Linked DNA regions of Saccharomyces cerevisiae S288C. Changing the gene in region 4 together with the main gene of any one other region gives a genetic interaction. Each region holds a gene or a part of one and is shown on either strand. Other genes may lie near its edges. The genes, in order: APE3, DNA2, BRN1 and FOB1.

Region 1 (4,055 bases), on a different chromosome or scaffold from region 4:
TATCTTTCCGGAAATAAATGAAATACCAGTAGTCAAACCAAAAAAAATAGGAATGATGGCTATTTCAAAGATTTTGGCCATGGACAGGGATTTGGCCAACTTACTAAAAATAAGACATGGTGTAAAAAGGTCCACGTTCAACAGAGAAATGATTTTTTGACTTTGTTTGGGCAGCAGACCAGAACTAGCGCTCCAAAAACCAGCGAGTGCGATAATGACTACCTGTAAAACGGACTCAAAGACCAAATAAGCCAAATGAGCAAAACTAAATGTTTCAACCATATAGTAGAAATGCAGAGTAATCTATGAGGGTATGGTTAGTTGGGAATAACAAACCAAAAACGGGCTTCACACATATTGTTCAATTTACAATAATTTCCTGTTTAAACTTTTATATCACAATTTCAGTTTTTTTTTCTACCTTTTTTTCACTTTGATAAGGAGGCTGTGATCCCCTTGATGCACGTGCAGTTAAAAAAAAGAGGGTTTTTATTTTCTTTTAGATAATTATACAGAAATACTTGATGTGAACAGTACACTTAAATAATCAAGAAGTCGGCCCTGTACTTAAATTGTGGTTGTTGAGCATTCAATATGTCCACCTCTTTGTGCTTTTGGGTTTCTCTTTTTGGGAAACCCTCGAAAGAGTCAGCATAGGTGGCCACAGAGTGAGCAATCAACTTGGTGTTGGTAATGAATGCGTCCCAGGATAAGTTAGAGACATCATCACATAATTGATGGTAGCATCTGTCTAAGACCTTTCCGTTGTTGACGTTATTCTTTTCGGCACCAGTGGCAATACCACCGGCTGGAATTCCGTTGTTGATAAACCCGACATAATCGGATCTACCGTCAAATGGGACCAAAGTGTAGTTCAAGTGATGAGCCTTGTAGTAGTCTACGTACAGGTTTTTCAACTCTTCAGACCCCTTAGGGTTCTCCTTGTTGTTCGCATCATAAATTTCGTATTCATAGTTTGGAGAAGCCATCATGTCATAGTCCATAAATACTCTGATCTTGGAGTTTTCTTCTTTGGTCAAGTTATAAGCGTAGAAGTTAGAGCCTAGCAAACCTTCTTCTTCAGCAGCCCACCATGCAAAACGGACCTTGTTATTGATCTTGAAATGGGTCAATTGCTTAGCGACGTTCAATAGGGAAATAGTACCGGAACCATCGTCGTTGATACCTGGGCCCTCCTCAACAGAGTCTGAATGAGCACCAAGGGCAACAATATTATCAGGATCACCGTGTTTTGTGTCGGCAATGATGTTCTGGGTCTTGATAAATTCTACATAAGAGTCCATGGCAAAATATAATGAATAATCGATGTTCAATGCAATATTGGCAATCAATTTTTTACCAACTTTATATGGAACACCGACGGTGGCGACAGTGTGCTTGGTAGGTTCGCCTAATGTACCGTGTAGTCCTTCTTTAGATTTAGGTTCGTTGTCGTAAATGACCACAGCGGTGAAACCGAACTTACCGGCCAAATTACTCTTATCGCCAAAAGGACACTTACCTCTTTCGATAAGGGCAATTTGCTTTTCGTTGTGTCTTGGTGGGACTACAGAGGCGTAATCCTTCTCTTCACATCCCAAGTTAGGAATTTCGACTAGCTTACCTACGAACCCGTCCACAGGTGGAGAAAGTGCGAAAGCTGTAGTGTTAGCAAAGCTTTTACCGGTTTCGGCGTCAGAGAGGTTGAAAGAGATGATCTTACCGGATAAAGCTTCGAACTCTTGCAAAGAAACATCATAGTAGTCCTGCATGTCATCGAAAACATTCAATATGTATTCCATAGTCTTGTTATGACCCTTGGACCCGATCACACGGGTAGGGTGACCGTAGTCAGGAGTAGAATAGTTAGCTAAACGGTAGAGGTCCCAAGCAGTAGCATTCAAATCGTCAACTTTGATTTTATCTTGCAATTTTTCACTTTCTACATGTGGTTTCATGAAGTAAGGAATATGTGGCTTCGGAATGTTGGCAGCAACGGCAGAGCTATCATCGTCGTTTAATTGCGGAAGATAATTCTCAATTGGCTCTTCTTGTTGAAAGGCTTCCTGGAAGAATTGAGGAATGACATAGGCAGAGCCTAAATTGGTAGCGTAAAACGCAGCGACAGCCAATTGCTTCAAAGAAAAGTGCATGGTTGGCGTTTCTGTTTTTTTTTTTTTTTTGGCTTCTTCTACCAATTGTTGAAAGGCTGAACATGGTTTTGTTCCCATCCATTGTTCCTCGCTTTTATATTGAAAAAAGAAAAATTTTCCTAAGGACCCCTTCTTCCTGAGGGTTAATTTAAGGGAATTCAAAGTGTGTCAATAGTAATTAATAGAACTAATCAATATATTCAGTATAACTTTTATTATTAATAGTATATGATATTACTTTTTGAACTATATATTTATGGAAGCACAAAAACATAGAGAACACTCTTTCTGACGATAAGAAAGGTGATTATATCAAGATATATAATGAAGCAGCTCAATTGTCTTATTTCTTGTATCTCAAGTAGCTCCTTCTAGTGCTACACTTTAGTATTCTGCTTTGTTTATCATCGAACCTATCAAATTCCACGGAATCCTCTGGTGAATATGTGTTCTGGTGCCGTGTTGAGTTATCGTTATCCAATTTGTGTTCATTGGCGACAAGGCCCTTTTTCAGCTCATTCAAATCTATGCAATGATTATTAACGCCTTTCTTATCAATGGCAACCTTACCCAAATTGTTTCTGTTTCTAGTCAGGATTGTAGCCATTTCTCTATCTGAAATGTCCGCCTCCATGCTATCGTCAGTGGGGCTTTCTAAGGATTTTATGTTTATGAAACCATTGTTTTCATTGCAATAGATTATTTCAATGGGGGAAGGCTCTTGCTTTTTAAAGGAGAATAGACTATCAAAATATGAGAACCTAGAAAATATGGTCATTGTCAACTATAAGCGAGCTTAGAGATTTCGAATTGTTATGTTATAAATGGAGTGATAAGACTCTTGTTTGAGGCTTGGGCTTTTTGATTTATATTAAATTAAGATATGTAAAAAAAAAAATAAATTAAAAAACGTGTGTTCTATTTACAGTATCTACTTACTTATTTGTTTATATATTCCATTAGTTTACTTATCTTTATCCTTAACCTTTTTTTTTTGTGTGTGTGGGGAAGGGCGGTACATAATATTAGCGTCACAATATGCGCCCCTCGAAGAAACATGAGCGAATTCACGCAATTATGAGTCGCCACTCCCCTGCGAGAGTGCTACTGCGATATTGACGTCTGATGATCGGAACGTTATGCTCTAAACTTGTATTTGGTTTACAATCATACCACTTGTCTACAAACCCAGTGTTTTCCACGAAGTAGTCATGGCTGGCTAAGGAAACGCCGAGCCATTTGTTCTTTAGGGTACTTGAAAATCCACTGGTTATGACACTGTTTCTTAGAAGTTCGCATAAATCTGCTGAATGTAAACGGTATATACTAGCCGCTACACTATACTCTTCTATAATGGGTTCTTTCGTATACGAATTGTTGTAGAGGATAGATTCTGAGCTCAGCGATATCTTGAACCCCATTTCAAAAAACTTCATGAAAGGGTTCTTCTTATAAGGCTTTGAGGGCTCTAGGACAAGCCCCGTCGGGGCTTGTTCTTGCAGCATTGTAGGCTTTGAATCTACTATGGAATTCAAAGGCGCCACAACCATGGGAATTTGACTTAGATAGAAAAGATACACCAGTGATGGTGGTGCATTCCAGAGATTTTCTGCATTTAGAAACCCTCCACAGGCGAGCAAGAAATTGTTTAAAATAGCTTCCGTATGTTCTGTGAAGTTCAGTGTATTACTAAACTGTGAAGTTCGATTCATTGAGGTGGGAGAACATGAACTTCTCAAAGTGAAGGTATTTTGATGAAGGGCTTGGCGGATATGGTTCAATTTTGTTAGGTTGACGTAGACGTAATACATATATTGTGAAATGGTTGGATTATCACCGCCAGATGTCCAATCTTTTGGCAAGCAACTAACTGCTGTGAAGTTTTTCCAAATATAGTTGTCC
Region 2 (6,697 bases), on a different chromosome or scaffold from region 4:
ATGCTGAATCTAACAACAAAATTGCTGCAGAGTACGAGCGTATCGTACCTCAAGTGCTTGATTTGGTACTGTTGGGCTGTGGTCCTGATGGACACACTTGTTCCTTATTCCCTGGAGAAACACATAGGTACTTGCTGAACGAAACAACCAAAAGAGTTGCTTGGTGCCACGATTCTCCCAAGCCTCCAAGTGACAGAATCACCTTCACTCTGCCTGTGTTGAAAGACGCCAAAGCCCTGTGTTTTGTGGCTGAGGGCAGTTCCAAACAAAATATAATGCATGAGATCTTTGACTTGAAAAACGATCAATTGCCAACCGCATTGGTTAACAAATTATTTGGTGAAAAAACATCCTGGTTCGTTAATGAGGAAGCTTTTGGAAAAGTTCAAACGAAAACTTTTTAGAAAAGACACACATGCGAGCTTTCGAACCTCAGATGCTAATATTACGTGTTATATATACCAAACTTTATAAAATGACATAGATATTTTATGCTGTGATAGCTTTCCTGTTATGGAGAAGCTCTTCTTATTCCCCCTGTCAACTTTCATACTCTTGTAGAATTTCCTTTATGATAGGTTTATCGCTTACGAATTTAGACTTTGATGTGATGGGTTTGGCACCTGTTCTTTTTCCACAACCTTTGCGTGCCTCATCAATAGCGTTTGATCTGTCGGGAAATTTGTATTTGTAGAGTGCATCCTTGCACATTGTATAGACCCAATTACGCTCTTCTAACAGGTTCACGAACGATTTTATTTCAGGAACAGAGCCGATTGTACTTTTTGAACCTATAATGATCAGCTTGGATTTGGCCCTTGTCATGGCAACATTGACTCTTCTTAGCTCTTTCAGCAGCGCTCCTCCATTTAATTGAGAATTTCTTCTAACCATGGAAATAATAATGCACTTTTTGTCACGACCTTGAAACTGATCAGCAGTCAAGATCTCTAGCCCGTCATACACATTTTTGTTGAATATCTTCTTCAGTAATCTTAACTGTGCTCTGTATAACGTCATTACACCAATATCTTCGCATGGTACGCCGCTCAATAACATTCCTTCCACACATTGTAGAGTCAATTCTGCCTCCCCGTGATTCGTAATGTTATCCTTTTCGCTTTGTTCGATAATATCCGGGCAGTTATCGTAATTTAAAAATACCACTTTTCTTGTAGGCTCTAGTATATCCTCAAGCCACTGCTTAGAGTTAGCCGATTCATTCCTATAGCGCGACAAGGCCTCAGGCATTGGTAACTCTAAAGATTGAGCAAAAACTTCGTTATTCCCGCATTTTAATTTATTATCATAAATTAGGAAATTAGACAAAGTTACAATATCGCCGCACATACGGTACTGTAAAGTCAGTTCTGCAACGCTTTCCGGATGCTTTTCACAGAAAGTCTTGAACAGTGACTCTTCTAACCCACCTAATCGAGCTGCGTCATTTTTAACTAATGGCGGTAGCTGGTAATGATCTCCTACCATAATAAACCTATTTCCATACCGCAGAGGTCCCAAAGCGACAGGCATTGAAATTTGACTTGCCTCGTCCAAAATCACATAATCAAAATCCTTTTCATTTAGTGTAAATAGTATATCGTTAATTCCTAAGCAGGTGGTAGCAACAACAGAGGTGCTGTTAATTTTGGACAAATAATCGTTATAACTTTTCACTGACGCGTAATTCGGGACATATTTTTGCGTGTCAGGATGGACCTTATGTTTCATTCCCAATCTCATTATGCTAATGTTGGTGTTCCTCAATTTTATTAAAATATTATCCACTGCTGAATGTGTGTATGATGTCAAAAGCACGCGTTTCCCCTCGGAAACGAGAATTTTAATAATTTCTGCGATAACAGTAGTCTTACCAGTCCCTGGCATTCCCAATATCAATGCATAATCTTCGGCCCTCATTACTTTGTCTATTGCTTCTTTTTGATTCAAGTTCAATGTTGTATCCTTTGAAAGCTTATACGGAATGACGGGATCATCATTTGCATCTCTAAACTTAGGTGCTCTATTATCAACTAAAAGTGATCGCAGTATTTCATTACCTCCATCAGATCTCTTTGTCTTCCGACATAATTTACTCCTTTCGTCAACAATATCCACGCCAGGTGAAACAGCTGGTAAAAACAAGCTTAAAAGATTAAATCGCGCTAAAGACAAACTCTGTTGGATATCATTTTTGTCGATTCTATATGTGACCAAATTTTGGGTAGCTATGAGACTGGATTGTTCTAGCTCTGATTCGACCACACTTTGGATGGTAGTGACTCCTTTTTCCTTATCTAGAAGCCTATTGTTTAATAACTTTCGTTTTACGGAGATACCAATTTTAGCGGGATTTATAAATTGTACACGACCTTGGCACAAGCAAAAATGACCCTCCTCATCACTAATAATAACAAAGTCATTAGCAGCAATTTGAGATGATAACATCGACTGCGAGTTATTATCATTTCTACGTCTTGAGAAGCAATATATATACGCTCCCTCTGTTTTTTCATGTTCAACCACCTCTGACACAACCAAGCCAGAAAGGCACCTTCCACTTCTGGATTCTCTTGTGGAACCATCCAATAAGAAAAGTTCTTTATTTACACATGTTATACTTGACTCCTCCTTAGTTATTAGATCATTATATTTTGTAAAAAACTCTTTGTAGTTGGCGAGATTTTGCGACAAATGGTTTGTCAAAATTTCAAACTCACCTTCTACCAGGCCACTTTCTTCTGGTGTCCCGTCCTCTAGTAGCTTATTCAACACCATGCATGATTCTTTGATGAAACATGAATCACAAGATGAATCGCGCAGTAAGGGTGGTAATTCAAACCTTGATTGAGCCTGTCCGAAAACCTCTTGGAGTTGATGCTTAAAATTCATACTCATTCTATTTCGGGACATGAGAATATGTTTAATGGAGTGCAGAACAGAAGGGAACTTTGTCATATTTTTATCCCTCGTAAAATAAAGAAGAAAAAACTCTATCGGTATCTCATAGCGATCATTTAACAGAAGTGTATAAATAAGGCCTTGAACCTCGTATGAAACGCTTCTGGATTTTCCAGTTTTCACTTCTAAAGGAACGATGTGTTTTTTATTGTTTTCAACATTAGCTTCAACAGTTGCATCTAGGAACCCTTTAAGACCATATATTGGAGACCAAATGTTTTCTTCAATATCAATCACATTGGATATAGAAATTGGCTGTGTTCTTCTTGTTCCGGAAATTGATGTGTAGCAACCATAGTTACTTTTCGAAACAAATTTATTGACGAAGTACAAAATGTTTTCAGCATGTTCTTTCATAACTAATTCTTTAACGTACTGGATTTCTTCATTACAAATGATAATTGAAAAAGAATAAGTTTCTAACAAAGAATCCAGCTTTTGTATTATGATTTCCATAGAAATTTTATTATGCGAGAGCTTGTATTTGATTGAGTCTTGCAATAACTCGTGTACGATATTGCCTAAAGTCATGACAAGGCTTGGTTCTCCGCGGGGATCTTGAAATTGCATTTGCAGAATTGAACGTCTTAAACAACCTACTGAACTTCCGACTGATGTTGCCGAAAATAATACATCAGGGTTTAGCACCAACAGGTTGTCGTTAGCCAGTTGAGTTTTAGGGTTTTTGTCGTCAGAAAGAAGCCGTTTGTTTTCAATATTTTTCCCTTCTATAATATGTATTACATCCCCAACCTCAAATTCCAAATATACCCAAGGATGTCGAACGACAACAGAACTTTGTTCGCCTTTGCCGTCTATACACTCTAGTATTTTTTGCGTTCCAATTTTTGGCAATTCAACACTACGTAAGCTTACTATTACTAATCGTACTACGCCGTCTCTTGGAGCACCAGACTTAGCTCTGAGAGCATATGCGGATAAAGTGGAATCAGTAGCAATTCTCAAATCGTCAGAGACCATTTTCTCCACTTTGTCTAAATCTTGTTCAATAGTGTTAGGTTCCACTTGTGTTTGAGTTTCGTTCAATAGTTCAATTAGTGAATCGTCTGAAAATTCGTCTGAAGAATTGTATTCTATTTTTTCATTTTTTTTAATTCTTTGGCAATTACTGTCTTCTTCATTCTCATAAAATGCATTGCCTGTTTTGGCTTGATTGTCTACATTTTCATGATCTTCAATTTCTCCTCTCGATTTTGTGTTATCATTCTTCCCACAACTTTCCTGGGCTCCACTTTTTTGATTGGTGTTGCCTTGAATTGTTATCTGACTCTCACTCTTGCGTTTCTCAACATACTTTTGAGTTAAAATATCTATCAAAGAGTCATCGCCATCGTTGCTATCTCCTGTTGAATCCATTTTATCTACTTCTTCTGCATTCACCTCTGCTTTTTTTTCAACGTTGGGTGCCTTGATGGGTGAAGATGGCAAATCGCTGAATTTCGTTATCGTCGGTTTTATAGTTAAATCGCCCTCTATATCATCGAGAATATCATCTATATTACGGAGAGACTCCCTGGTAGATATTTCTGCTGGTTTAGGACGCACTTGCTCATTTCCATTTTCTTGAATGAGTTGATTTACGTCAGCGTTGGGTACTTGGATATTTGTGAAACTAAGAACAGTTTTCAGTCGATTAGGGACTATAGGTGTAGAAGAGGGATTTTGGACATCTTCGTAGTCATCAGAGTATTCGGCAGCGCTTGTTGTTTTGTCGGACATATCTCGTTGTAAAGGTGAATATTTCCATATTACTTCTTCCATGGGGCCGTCCTCGTCTTGAGTGAAATCGTGATGCCTACTCAAATTAGACATTTCCCGTTTCGGTTTAACTTGTGAATTTGGTAATTGCTTTACGCTCTTGCTAACTGCTTTGTTTATATCTTTTGTTCTTGATGTATTTCGTACTTGTGAAACGGCTATTGACTTTAGGACACTTGCATTGGATACCTTGGTGTTCTTCCCATTTAAGTTATTTATAGGAGCAAAAGCATACTTTTTTTTCCTCTTAGTTTGCTTAGATAATATCGCCTTTGAATCATTTTGTATTATTTCTTTTTCCTCTGTCTTCTTCGCAGGTGAAACAGATATACTCGCAGACCTCTTGTTCTTCTGTGGCGTTCCGGGCATCCTGACGATCTCTTCAATTGTCAGTGTTTGCTTGCACAAAATGAGTACTCACTTGAGTATGTTTTCTCCCAATTTTGTTTTGAGGCTGCCGTAATGATTGTAACTTTATCTTCAAAAATGTAACACAAGTTTTGCCATAAATAGCGTAAGATCAGTTAAATATATATAAGTTCTTTCTGCCGCACGGAATTGCTTTATTGCGCGAAATGAAAACAAGAATATCCAATTTCTATATGAAGGACATAATGGAATGGGAGTGACAACGGACCATTTTCTGTCCGAACGATGTCTATCTCCTTTGGTTACTTTTTGAAATAGAATCACAGTCAATGACCAATTTTCACATACTTATAGCTTTTCATAGTGCGGAAAGCGTAGCTTTGAAGTAGTTCCGAAATTATAATACATCATCGTGTGGTAGGTAGCAACTACGACGGGCATAAAAAATGCGTTGAATATTATACATACAAACTTATACTTACATATATATCTATGAAATAACAGATTCCAGTTTATTGGGGAATATATTCAGCTAAATACATCGATTTGTTCGGCCTCTAACTCTTCGTCCCCCGCCAATTCGCTAAACTGTAAAAAGTGTACTGGACGATGCATCTCATTATAGAATTCCAAAGGAATGCCGTATTTAAAATTGTAGTCACCTTCTTGGTTAAATGCTGTTCCCATAAATGTGTAGTTCCAAACGTTTCCAGATGGAATTATAAAATTACCTGTGATACGGTCAGAGAGAAGTAATTGGGCATGCGTGCTGAAAGTAGGCTCAAACCCTTCCGATAGCACGTTCATTATATCCTTATTTTCTTCACCCCATTGGTAACCTTCGTCGGTCAGGTTATAAGCGCTTAATGATACTGATCCCGGGGTGGAAAAAATTGAAATATCAATGCAGTCTCTTTTCTTATCCGCAAAAAGTTTAGAATGAGTTGCTACTTCAGACGCAGCCATGAATTTAAGTTCTTCTGTCTGGGTATGGATCCAACCGAGTAGTTCAAGGCCTTCAGTATCCGGAAGGTCTCCGATGTCAGGGATGTTGCTTATCTGAACGGATCCTACGTGGCCTAATTGAGGTACCAGCACAACAGTCTTGATTTCTTTCACCTTCGGATGATCTTTTGCTGACATACCATAAATAAAGGCCGCCACCTGGATTTTCACATCGGATATCTCAATAAACTTCTTTAATAAATTTTTTGGAAGGACGTAAACATTCTGTTCCTCCACGAAATCATCAGCCGAAACATAAATGTTTTTTAACCTCAAATATAATAGTGTATTAGCAATTGCAGATTTTCTCCATTCATTCTTTGAACTAAACGTTTGACTTTCGTAATCAGCGGAAGCTACTACAACTATCTCCTCACCTTGCGCATTGATAGTTTTAGTTTTCATAACAGTTGATGCACCTGCAGCTTCTTCGTCGTTCTGCTTTTCTGACCTGGCAGCTTCTAATTCAGCCATTTTTTGTCTCTTCACAGATGGTGCCTTGATATTTTGACCCAATATAATATCTTTAATTTCCGTTTGAGTTAAGGCAGATATATTGACATTGTATTTTCTGCCGTACTCA
Region 3 (4,616 bases), on a different chromosome or scaffold from region 4:
AGCTTCCCCTTGCCGAACAAGAGGCCTTGTCCTACATGATATTCCCTATGCCCGCTTGGTATTTTCTCACTGAATAAGACATGGTGCATCTTCTCATCCTGGGCCAACTTGTTGTAAACCTCGCTTTTCTCGATTTGAGCGAGGATGTCAACCCTCTGCAGCTCCATAGGTTGGCGGCTCTTGGTCGCACTAATCAACTCCGCTGGCGTTTGCGGATCATTCAATGATAGAACACCGGCATCATCGGGCCACGCCTTTACAAACGCACCAACTCCTAATGTAAAACCTGCCGTAGGCAAAATTACTGCCCTGTTGACTAATTTAAATAGAAATGGAATAGTTCTGGACATATTGGAACTCACCCTCGATCTATCCTGTCATTTGGTCATTGTCTATAAAAATAAATACCTTGTTTTATATCCACTTTTCGAAGCGGTCCCCTTTCGGCGATAAAGGATTTCGTAAGCCCGAAGGCTTTAAGAAACTTTGCAGCACAAAAAAAAAAAAAAAAAAAAAAAAAAAGATCATCAACTATGACGCTGCCTGTGTTGTCGCTAGATCCTCATAATTCACTATCAAGTCATTATAGTTTTCGGTATGAGTTATCTGCAACCCATGCTCATTGGCTAAGTGTAGAAGGCATATAAAACAAAAGCTTGTTGAAATGTCCTTTAGTGTATCATCCGAATACATTTTACTTATACCCTGAATGATATCAGAAAACTTGAGCTCCTTTGTTGATTCATCTTCTGTGTGGGTTTCACTGTCATTAGAGCTTTGTTCTCTATTTTTCCTACTGTCATGTTCTTGTATCAAATTGTTGATCGATCTCCATACGTTTTTCTTTAATCTTCTTACGTCAACTTTTTTCGAAACTCTTGAATAAGTAACTTTATTTTCTCGAATGGGGAACTTATGATCTTCGTCATCCTGTAAATCAAGTTTCACACTGGCCTCCTCGTTATCATCTGTTCCTTCGAAAGCTTGGTTGAAGTCAACACCGTCCATGTCATCTTCAAACGGATTATCGAGCGCTCCACCCACCACATCACCAACCTCTTTAGACTGCTCCTTTTCTTTTTCCTCTTGTTCTTTCCTTTCGTAATTATCCGCCCAAAAGTGCTCATCTGCAATAGTAGGAATGTCGTTATTTGAATGGTTGGCAGAAACTGTGCTTTTTTCAAAAAGCCCCGAACTAACGTCGCCTCTGGTATGCTTCCTATGACTGAACAGACTCATTTTCTGCCCCGGTTTAATGAACAATCTTGTTATTCTATCAGTGGAAAAATGGAAGTCATCCGGCAGTAAATAATGTGTGTCGTTCTTTCTGTTCTTAATCGGCATGTCAATCTTTGTCCTTCCTTTTGAGGCAAAGACTTTGTCTTCAAAACTATCATCCGTTTTGAAGAAATCAATTTCCAGAACCTTTTTTTGTTTATGCTTCTTCTTCGTATCCATCGATTTGTCGTCCGTTGTGTTTTTGTCAGTAGTATCTCCTATAGTAGTTCGCGTTTCTTCCAACAGGTCGGATTCTTTATTCACTAAGTTTGCTTTCTTAAAATTTCGTACTTTCCAATGTTCTCTCCCTCTCCAGTTTCTATTTAGATTTTCGTCAAAGTATGCCATCAAATCTTTTTCGAATATACTTCCTGTGGTACTGTTGACATTATCATCATCTTGTTCATCATGTGATGTATTGTCATGATTTTCATCTGGATAGCACAGCTCCTGTTGCATGCCCATATCAAAGCCATCGCTATCATCTTCTGCATTATCTGGGACAGCTGCTTGCAATTCTTCTTCAGTTAAGAAGTTATCAAATCTGTTGTTAACATTTTCGATAAAGTCTTTCGCTTGATTAATATCTTCGACAACGTTCCTTAGTTGCTCAATCGATCCTGAAATTTCACACACCGCAATTTGATCAAATTTTATAAAATCCATACCAAGAGATAAAATCTCATCTTCCATGGAAGGTGCACTAATAACGGAATCATTTACGGTTGAGTCATTACGAGTACTTATCAATGACTGGCTAGGTTCATTTTCGTCATCTACTAAACTATCTCTTTCAATTAATTCTTCTTCTTTCCTTTGAAGTTTACCTTGCCCTACGTTTTGTGTATCCTTAATTGATGCATCGAAAATGACTCTTGCAGTGTTGTCTATGTTTAATGTGTTCAACAATAAACTCTTGGCGCCACCTTCATCGAAATCAACCAAGGCCTTTTTGAATAATGGATCAATTATTAATTCCTGGTCTAGCTCTTTCATCTTGATCGTTTCGAACTCCACCAATGTTGTTTCTAAAACTCTGTTGTACACTCTCCGCCTAGTGTTATTCACATCAGGATCATTAGATATAGGCATACCAGTTAAGGGATCAATCTCTATATTTGCTTCGTCACTGTCACCTCCAAGCCCTTCACCATTTCCCCCGTTACTGTCATCTCCGTTAGATGCCCCATTCGTCTTTCTTTGTGCCAACCCGCTCAATAACTTACCTGTTTCCGTTGTCACTGAATCAACTCTCGAAGAGTAAATCTTAATACACCCATCCAAGGTTGCAGATGCTTTCTGAAAATTGATGTTATTCTCGCCATCTTTCAAAACGTCCAAGTCATAAAAATAGTCGATCAATGCGAAATTCCAACTATTTCGGGAATTGATTTTATTATCTGTAGCCATTTTGATCCATTCTTCAAAATTTGCCATCATGGTGGATCTATTGGTAAAGAGATTATATTCTACTCTTTCATCGTCATCGTTATTTTCATACCTTAGTTGTGTAGTCATCTTATATAACTACCTGCTGGTTTTTTTTGCTCCAAAAAGTCCACTAAGATGATTTTTTGGTGCAATAAATAGAGTATTTAACTAGCCAATATAAAAAGTTCAACCATATGGATATTATCTTGACAATACTTCACTAAAATGTAAACAAAGAAAGCGCGAACAGAGCCGTTTACCGTTTCGCGTGATCAACATCACATAAAATAATTAGTGTATTATATATATATATATATATATATATATGTATATATCACTTATTTTAATAATCCTCTCCTAGCGTACACGGATGGCAAGAATAAACTGGCTTCAGGAACGTTCTCTTGTCAAAAATTTGAAAAGCTTGTAACCGCCAATAGATAACATACCGAGTGTCAGAGATTCTAAGAATTTCAAGATACGTGTTTGCTTTCCAGCCCTTTCTAAAGCTCTAGAATACGAGATATCGGATCTGAAAGATATCATTGTATACAAAGGTATCCACTTATCCTTCATTATAATACTAAAGAGAGCATCTAGCTTTTTCCTTAATAAAAACCGCTTGGATGTAACGTCATGTGACATTTCTTTATAGTTCCTTTTTGCCAGCTCAGTAATAGAAACTAGGTCCTTATGTCTTGTTTGAGTGTACTCAGTAAAGGCTCTTGAACGATCTCCTGAATGCTTTTTCAATAGCGCCATAAGAATTCTCACATCTTCAAATCCGCAATTCATACCTTGGCCGTAAAATGGAACCATTGCATGGGCAGCGTCGCCGAGTAGGATGGCCTTTCCGCCTGGTACATCGTATGGCTTACAGTTTACACAGACAAGACTTTCCTTTGGATAAGTGATAAACCTTTTGACAGCATCGTCCAAATCCATAATATTAATAATATCGGGAAAGTTCTCGATTAAGAATTCCCTCACACGTGACTTGGAAGTTATCAGATCTGATATTTGATCTTTAGAACCGAAAAAGGTTGAAGTGAACGAGCCGTCACTGTTGGCGAGCGCAATTAACATGAATTTATGACGAGGCCAAATGTGCAAATGGTCAGGAGCTATTGCAAAATTTCCGCCATAGTTTGGCTTGAATTCCTCAGTAGGCGGGATGTAAAGTTCAATGTAACGTAAATTCATATATTCTTGTGAAAAATCCATCTCAACTTTACGTTGCATTTGCGATCTCGTCGCAGAGTATGCTCCGTCACAACCTATGACAAAATCATACTTTTCAGTATGTGGGGTTTTCAAATCTTCCCCAATGGCAAAATGACAGATTTGTTTATCATCTGTCCATTCGATTTTGACTAATTTGTGACCGAACTTCAGTTCTGTTGTAGATTTTTCTAATTCGTCCAAAAGGCTATTATTTAATACAGATCTATTGATAGAATTAATAGCTTCTCCATGCAAGCCATACAATTGTGATTCCTGTCTGCCTTTCAAGTCATGAATCATCCTGCCTTTCATGGGAATCATATCTTGCAGAATATGTTCACAAGCATCCGGATCTATTGATTTCAGAGCATCAATGCCACGAGCAGAAATAGCCAAATTAATGGATTTCAAATTTTTATTTTTGGTGGTGTCCAATCGAGGATCTTGTCTAAAATCATATAGTGTGACATTGTAGCCTTCTTTGGAGAATGCCAAAGCTGCAAGGCAGCCTACTAATCCTGCACCTATAATGGCCACTGATTCAGACATATTTTCAAGTTAAACAGATTAACTGACTACGTGATTTTTTAACTGTCATTCAATATTTTATTATTAAAAACAACGTCCGTGCCAGAAATTCGGGCCTTTTATAAGAAATAGTGGCGGAAAAAAGAGTCAGTGCT
Region 4 (3,797 bases):
ATCTCTATAAGGCCCCCAAACGCCATGGACAAATATAGGGTTTTTTGATAACAAAATATGACACGTAGACGTACCGGCAACAGCTGCCAATCTGCCAATTGCACCATTGAAATCCTTTTTATAATTTTCGGTCTCGGCAAGACCTTTTACTGCTGATTCCGGCTTGGCGGCTACCGTCCCTACCCAGCCTGCATATGCATCAATAATTCCTGAACTTACTACACAATGCTCTGTCAAGCCTAATTGACAGGCAGCCTTTTTATCTAACGGGCTGATACATTCACCTGCGGTCAGAAAGTTTTTTTTTTCCCTTAACGATCCACCCAGTCTTTCAAAATCATTCTTCGTAAGCTCTGAAAGCCCAATTGAATTTAAGAATTCTTTGGACCAGCCTATATCGGAACCTTCGACACCCACTGGTAGAAATCCCTGCTTACAAACAGCAGAACAAAATGACCTATTCTCTTTTCCCGTGGCTTTGAAAGTCAAGTAATCCGGAAGGTCAAAAAACTTACAATCCTGAAAAATTCCAGCTTCTAAGTTGTTCTTCAACCACTTAATCTTCGGAATTTCCATTTCAACAGACATTTGCCCTCCCACATATTTTAAACATTTATCACCAGATGAGTTGATTTCTTCAGTCTCCTTCATCGCCCTATGGTCCATCCATAATATGATATTCTGGTCATTATTGGTAAAATCCGGTCCAACTGCAATTTCTTCAAAATTGGTAGCGGATACGACTACTAAGGAACAAGTCGCATCAAAACCAATTCCACGAACTCTTTCAGGGTCAACTCCTGATTCTTCAACAACAGTTCTAACACAATAGCAAACTGCATTCCAGATTTCTCTTGAAGACTGAGTAATAAAATTGGATATCAATTGTTCCCTTTTTATGGGTTTTTCTGCTAGCGACAACATGTTACCAGATTGATCGATAACACATGCCCTTGCAGAGCCTGTTCCGACATCTACACCAACGTAGAATTTTGCTTCTGGATCTTGTGGAGAAATGCGAGAAATCGAGGTTTCCTGTGACGACAATACCGCTGGCTCCCGTGTTTCATTTTGCATATTGTTTTGGCGTTTCCTGCTTTTCATATAGCCTTAATAATGTACTTTGCAGATGTTTGTTCCTTCGTCTCTTTACATCTTTTCATTGTACTCAGCGGTCTGGGTGTGCAGCTTTCCACATTTACTAATACTGGTCTGTAGCATTTAGTCAAACGGGTGTTATAAAGGTTCAATTTCTTCATCATACCTAACATTGTGATCGAGGTTTCCAGGAAGAGCTTATATATATCAAAACAAGAAACCCAGAGTATCTTTACCCCCACATTCAATATGAGGTGTCAGCCATAATTATTTACATGATAATACTGATATTTTTTCTTTTTCGCGATATATTGAAAAGAAAAAAAAATTGCGAGGTGATTCCTCATCGCATGTATTCATTTTAACGACATTGAATTAAGCCTTCAGGGGGGAGAACAATTTAACGATTGTGTGAGTGTGAATTTGTGCTGAGGATAACAATGACGAAACCGCGTTACAATGACGTGTTGTTTGATGATGATGACTCGGTACCATCAGAATCAGTTACGAGGAAATCGCAGAGAAGAAAGGCAACGTCACCTGGGGAATCAAGAGAGTCCTCAAAAGATCGTCTACTGATACTTCCCTCTATGGGGGAATCATATACTGAGTACGTAGACTCTTATTTGAACTTAGAATTATTGGAAAGGGGAGAAAGAGAAACACCAATCTTTCTTGAATCTCTGACAAGACAACTAACGCAGAAAATATATGAACTAATAAAAACAAAATCTTTAACTGCAGATACCTTGCAACAAATAAGTGATAAATACGATGGTGTAGTGGCAGAAAACAAGCTGTTATTTTTGCAAAGACAGTATTATGTTGATGATGAAGGAAATGTTAGAGATGGCCGAAATAATGATAAAATATACTGTGAGCCAAAGCATGTATACGACATGGTGATGGCAACACACTTGATGAATAAGCATCTTAGGGGTAAAACATTACATTCCTTTTTATTTTCTCATTTTGCCAATATTAGTCATGCCATCATCGATTGGGTCCAGCAATTTTGTTCAAAATGTAATAAAAAGGGCAAAATTAAACCATTGAAGGAATATAAACGTCCTGACATGTACGATAAACTACTACCAATGGAAAGGATACATATTGAGGTATTCGAACCCTTCAATGGAGAAGCTATTGAGGGAAAATATTCTTATGTCCTTTTATGCCGAGACTATCGCTCTAGTTTTATGTGGTTATTACCACTTAAGAGTACCAAATTCAAACATCTTATCCCAGTTGTTTCCTCACTTTTTTTAACATTTGCTAGGGTTCCAATTTTCGTAACATCAAGCACTTTAGATAAAGATGATCTTTATGATATTTGTGAAGAAATTGCATCAAAATACGGTCTCCGTATTGGCTTGGGTTTGAAGAGTTCTGCGAGATTTCATACTGGGGGTATACTGTGCATTCAGTATGCTCTAAATAGTTATAAGAAGGAATGTCTAGCCGATTGGGGTAAGTGCCTAAGATATGGCCCTTACAGATTCAACCGAAGGAGAAATAAGAGAACGAAACGTAAACCTGTGCAAGTACTACTTAGTGAAGTTCCAGGTCACAATGCCAAGTTTGAGACTAAGAGAGAAAGGGTTATAGAAAACACATATTCCCGTAATATGTTCAAGATGGCAGGTGGAAAAGGTCTTATATATTTGGAAGATGTCAATACTTTTGCCCTTGCTAATGAAGCGGATAATAGCTGTAACAATAATGGAATTCTTCATAATAACAATATAGGAAATGATAACTTTGAAGAAGAAGTGCAAAAACAATTTGATCTAACTGAAAAAAACTATATCGATGAGTATGATGATTTGGCACATGATTCTTCAGAGGGCGAATTTGAACCTAATACCTTAACTCCCGAAGAAAAGCCTCCTCATAATGTCGATGAGGACCGAATAGAGTCCACCGGCGTGGCAGCCCCAATGCAGGGAACAGAAGAGCCTGAAAAAGGGGATCAAAAAGAAAGTGACGGTGCATCACAAGTAGATCAAAGTGTCGAAATAACTAGACCAGAAACTTCCTACTATCAAACTCTGGAATCGCCGTCAACAAAACGACAGAAATTAGACCAACAGGGTAATGGAGATCAAACAAGAGACTTTGGCACATCAATGGAATTGTAATAATATGTAGGATAGAATGAAAGGAGGAGTCACCATAGGTGAAAAAAAAAAGCACCTATTGCATATAAAGTATTCAAAAAGGTGTTGAAAGCTCTTCCTGTATATGACCCTGTATTTAATGTACGCGGTTAAAAAATTTTTATATTTTTAAATAAGTATCAACTTGGATAATATGATCTTGCCCGCAAGGTGGTTTTATATGAATAATTACTTTTTTTTTTTTTTTTTTTTTTTTTTTTTTTTTTTAATTGAACAATAGATGCAGAGGAATGCTCCAAAATTTATTTCCTTGAACAATATTACAAGAGGCAGATATATACTTTTCCTTATTTCCCTTAGTAAAGAATGATGCATGTATACTATTACAAATTTAAACTTCACCCCCACCATGGATGCAAAACAAATAGAAAGCCATTATCATTAGTTTTTTTTTTTCATTCAATTACGATACTTGCTGAAGAAATCTTGATGAAATTCTTTCCAGTCTTGAATCCATTTAGTCCCTGGAGCCAAAAACGTTGTTCGCACATGATAAGTCCCGGGTCTTTGTCCGAACCC

The links.
Region 1: mutations in FOB1 (region 4) and APE3 together harm fitness more than expected from each alone (negative genetic interaction), as found in Saccharomyces cerevisiae (2 studies listed by BioGRID).
Region 2: of FOB1 (region 4) and DNA2, a mutation in one rescues a mutant of the other (synthetic rescue), as found in Saccharomyces cerevisiae (2 studies listed by BioGRID, with this or other methods).
Region 3: mutations in FOB1 (region 4) and BRN1 are lethal when combined (synthetic lethality), as found in Saccharomyces cerevisiae (2 studies listed by BioGRID, with this or other methods).

What each region holds. Positions count from the first base shown.
Region 1 is NC_001134.8:772,798-776,852, reverse strand, and holds APE3 (aminopeptidase Y), read right to left. Parts: upstream 2,154-4,055; coding exon 540-2,153; downstream 1-539. Other genes in the region: YBR287W (uncharacterized protein), read right to left, coding at 1-282; HAB1 (Hab1p), read right to left, coding at 2,497-2,931; YBR284W (metallo-dependent hydrolase superfamily protein), read right to left, coding at 3,221-4,055.
Region 2 is NC_001140.6:424,070-430,766, forward strand, and holds DNA2 (bifunctional ATP-dependent DNA helicase/ssDNA endodeoxyribonuclease DNA2), read right to left. Parts: upstream 5,110-6,697; coding exon 541-5,109; downstream 1-540. Other genes in the region: 6-phosphogluconolactonase SOL3, read left to right, coding at 1-404; U4/U6-U5 snRNP complex subunit PRP8, read right to left, coding at 5,638-6,697. UniProt on the Saccharomyces cerevisiae protein: Key enzyme involved in DNA replication and DNA repair.
Region 3 is NC_001134.8:39,011-43,626, reverse strand, and holds BRN1 (condensin subunit BRN1), read right to left. Parts: upstream 2,797-4,616; coding exon 532-2,796; downstream 1-531. Other genes in the region: MRX3 (Mrx3p), read right to left, coding at 1-350; BNA4 (kynurenine 3-monooxygenase), read right to left, coding at 3,100-4,482. UniProt on the Saccharomyces cerevisiae protein: Regulatory subunit of the condensin complex, a complex required for conversion of interphase chromatin into mitotic-like condense chromosomes.
Region 4 is NC_001136.10:674,564-678,360, forward strand, and holds FOB1 (replication fork barrier binding protein FOB1), read left to right. Parts: upstream 1-1,538; coding exon 1,539-3,239; downstream 3,240-3,797. Other genes in the region: YDR109C (putative phosphotransferase), read right to left, coding at 1-1,104; alanine transaminase ALT2, read right to left, coding at 3,678-3,797.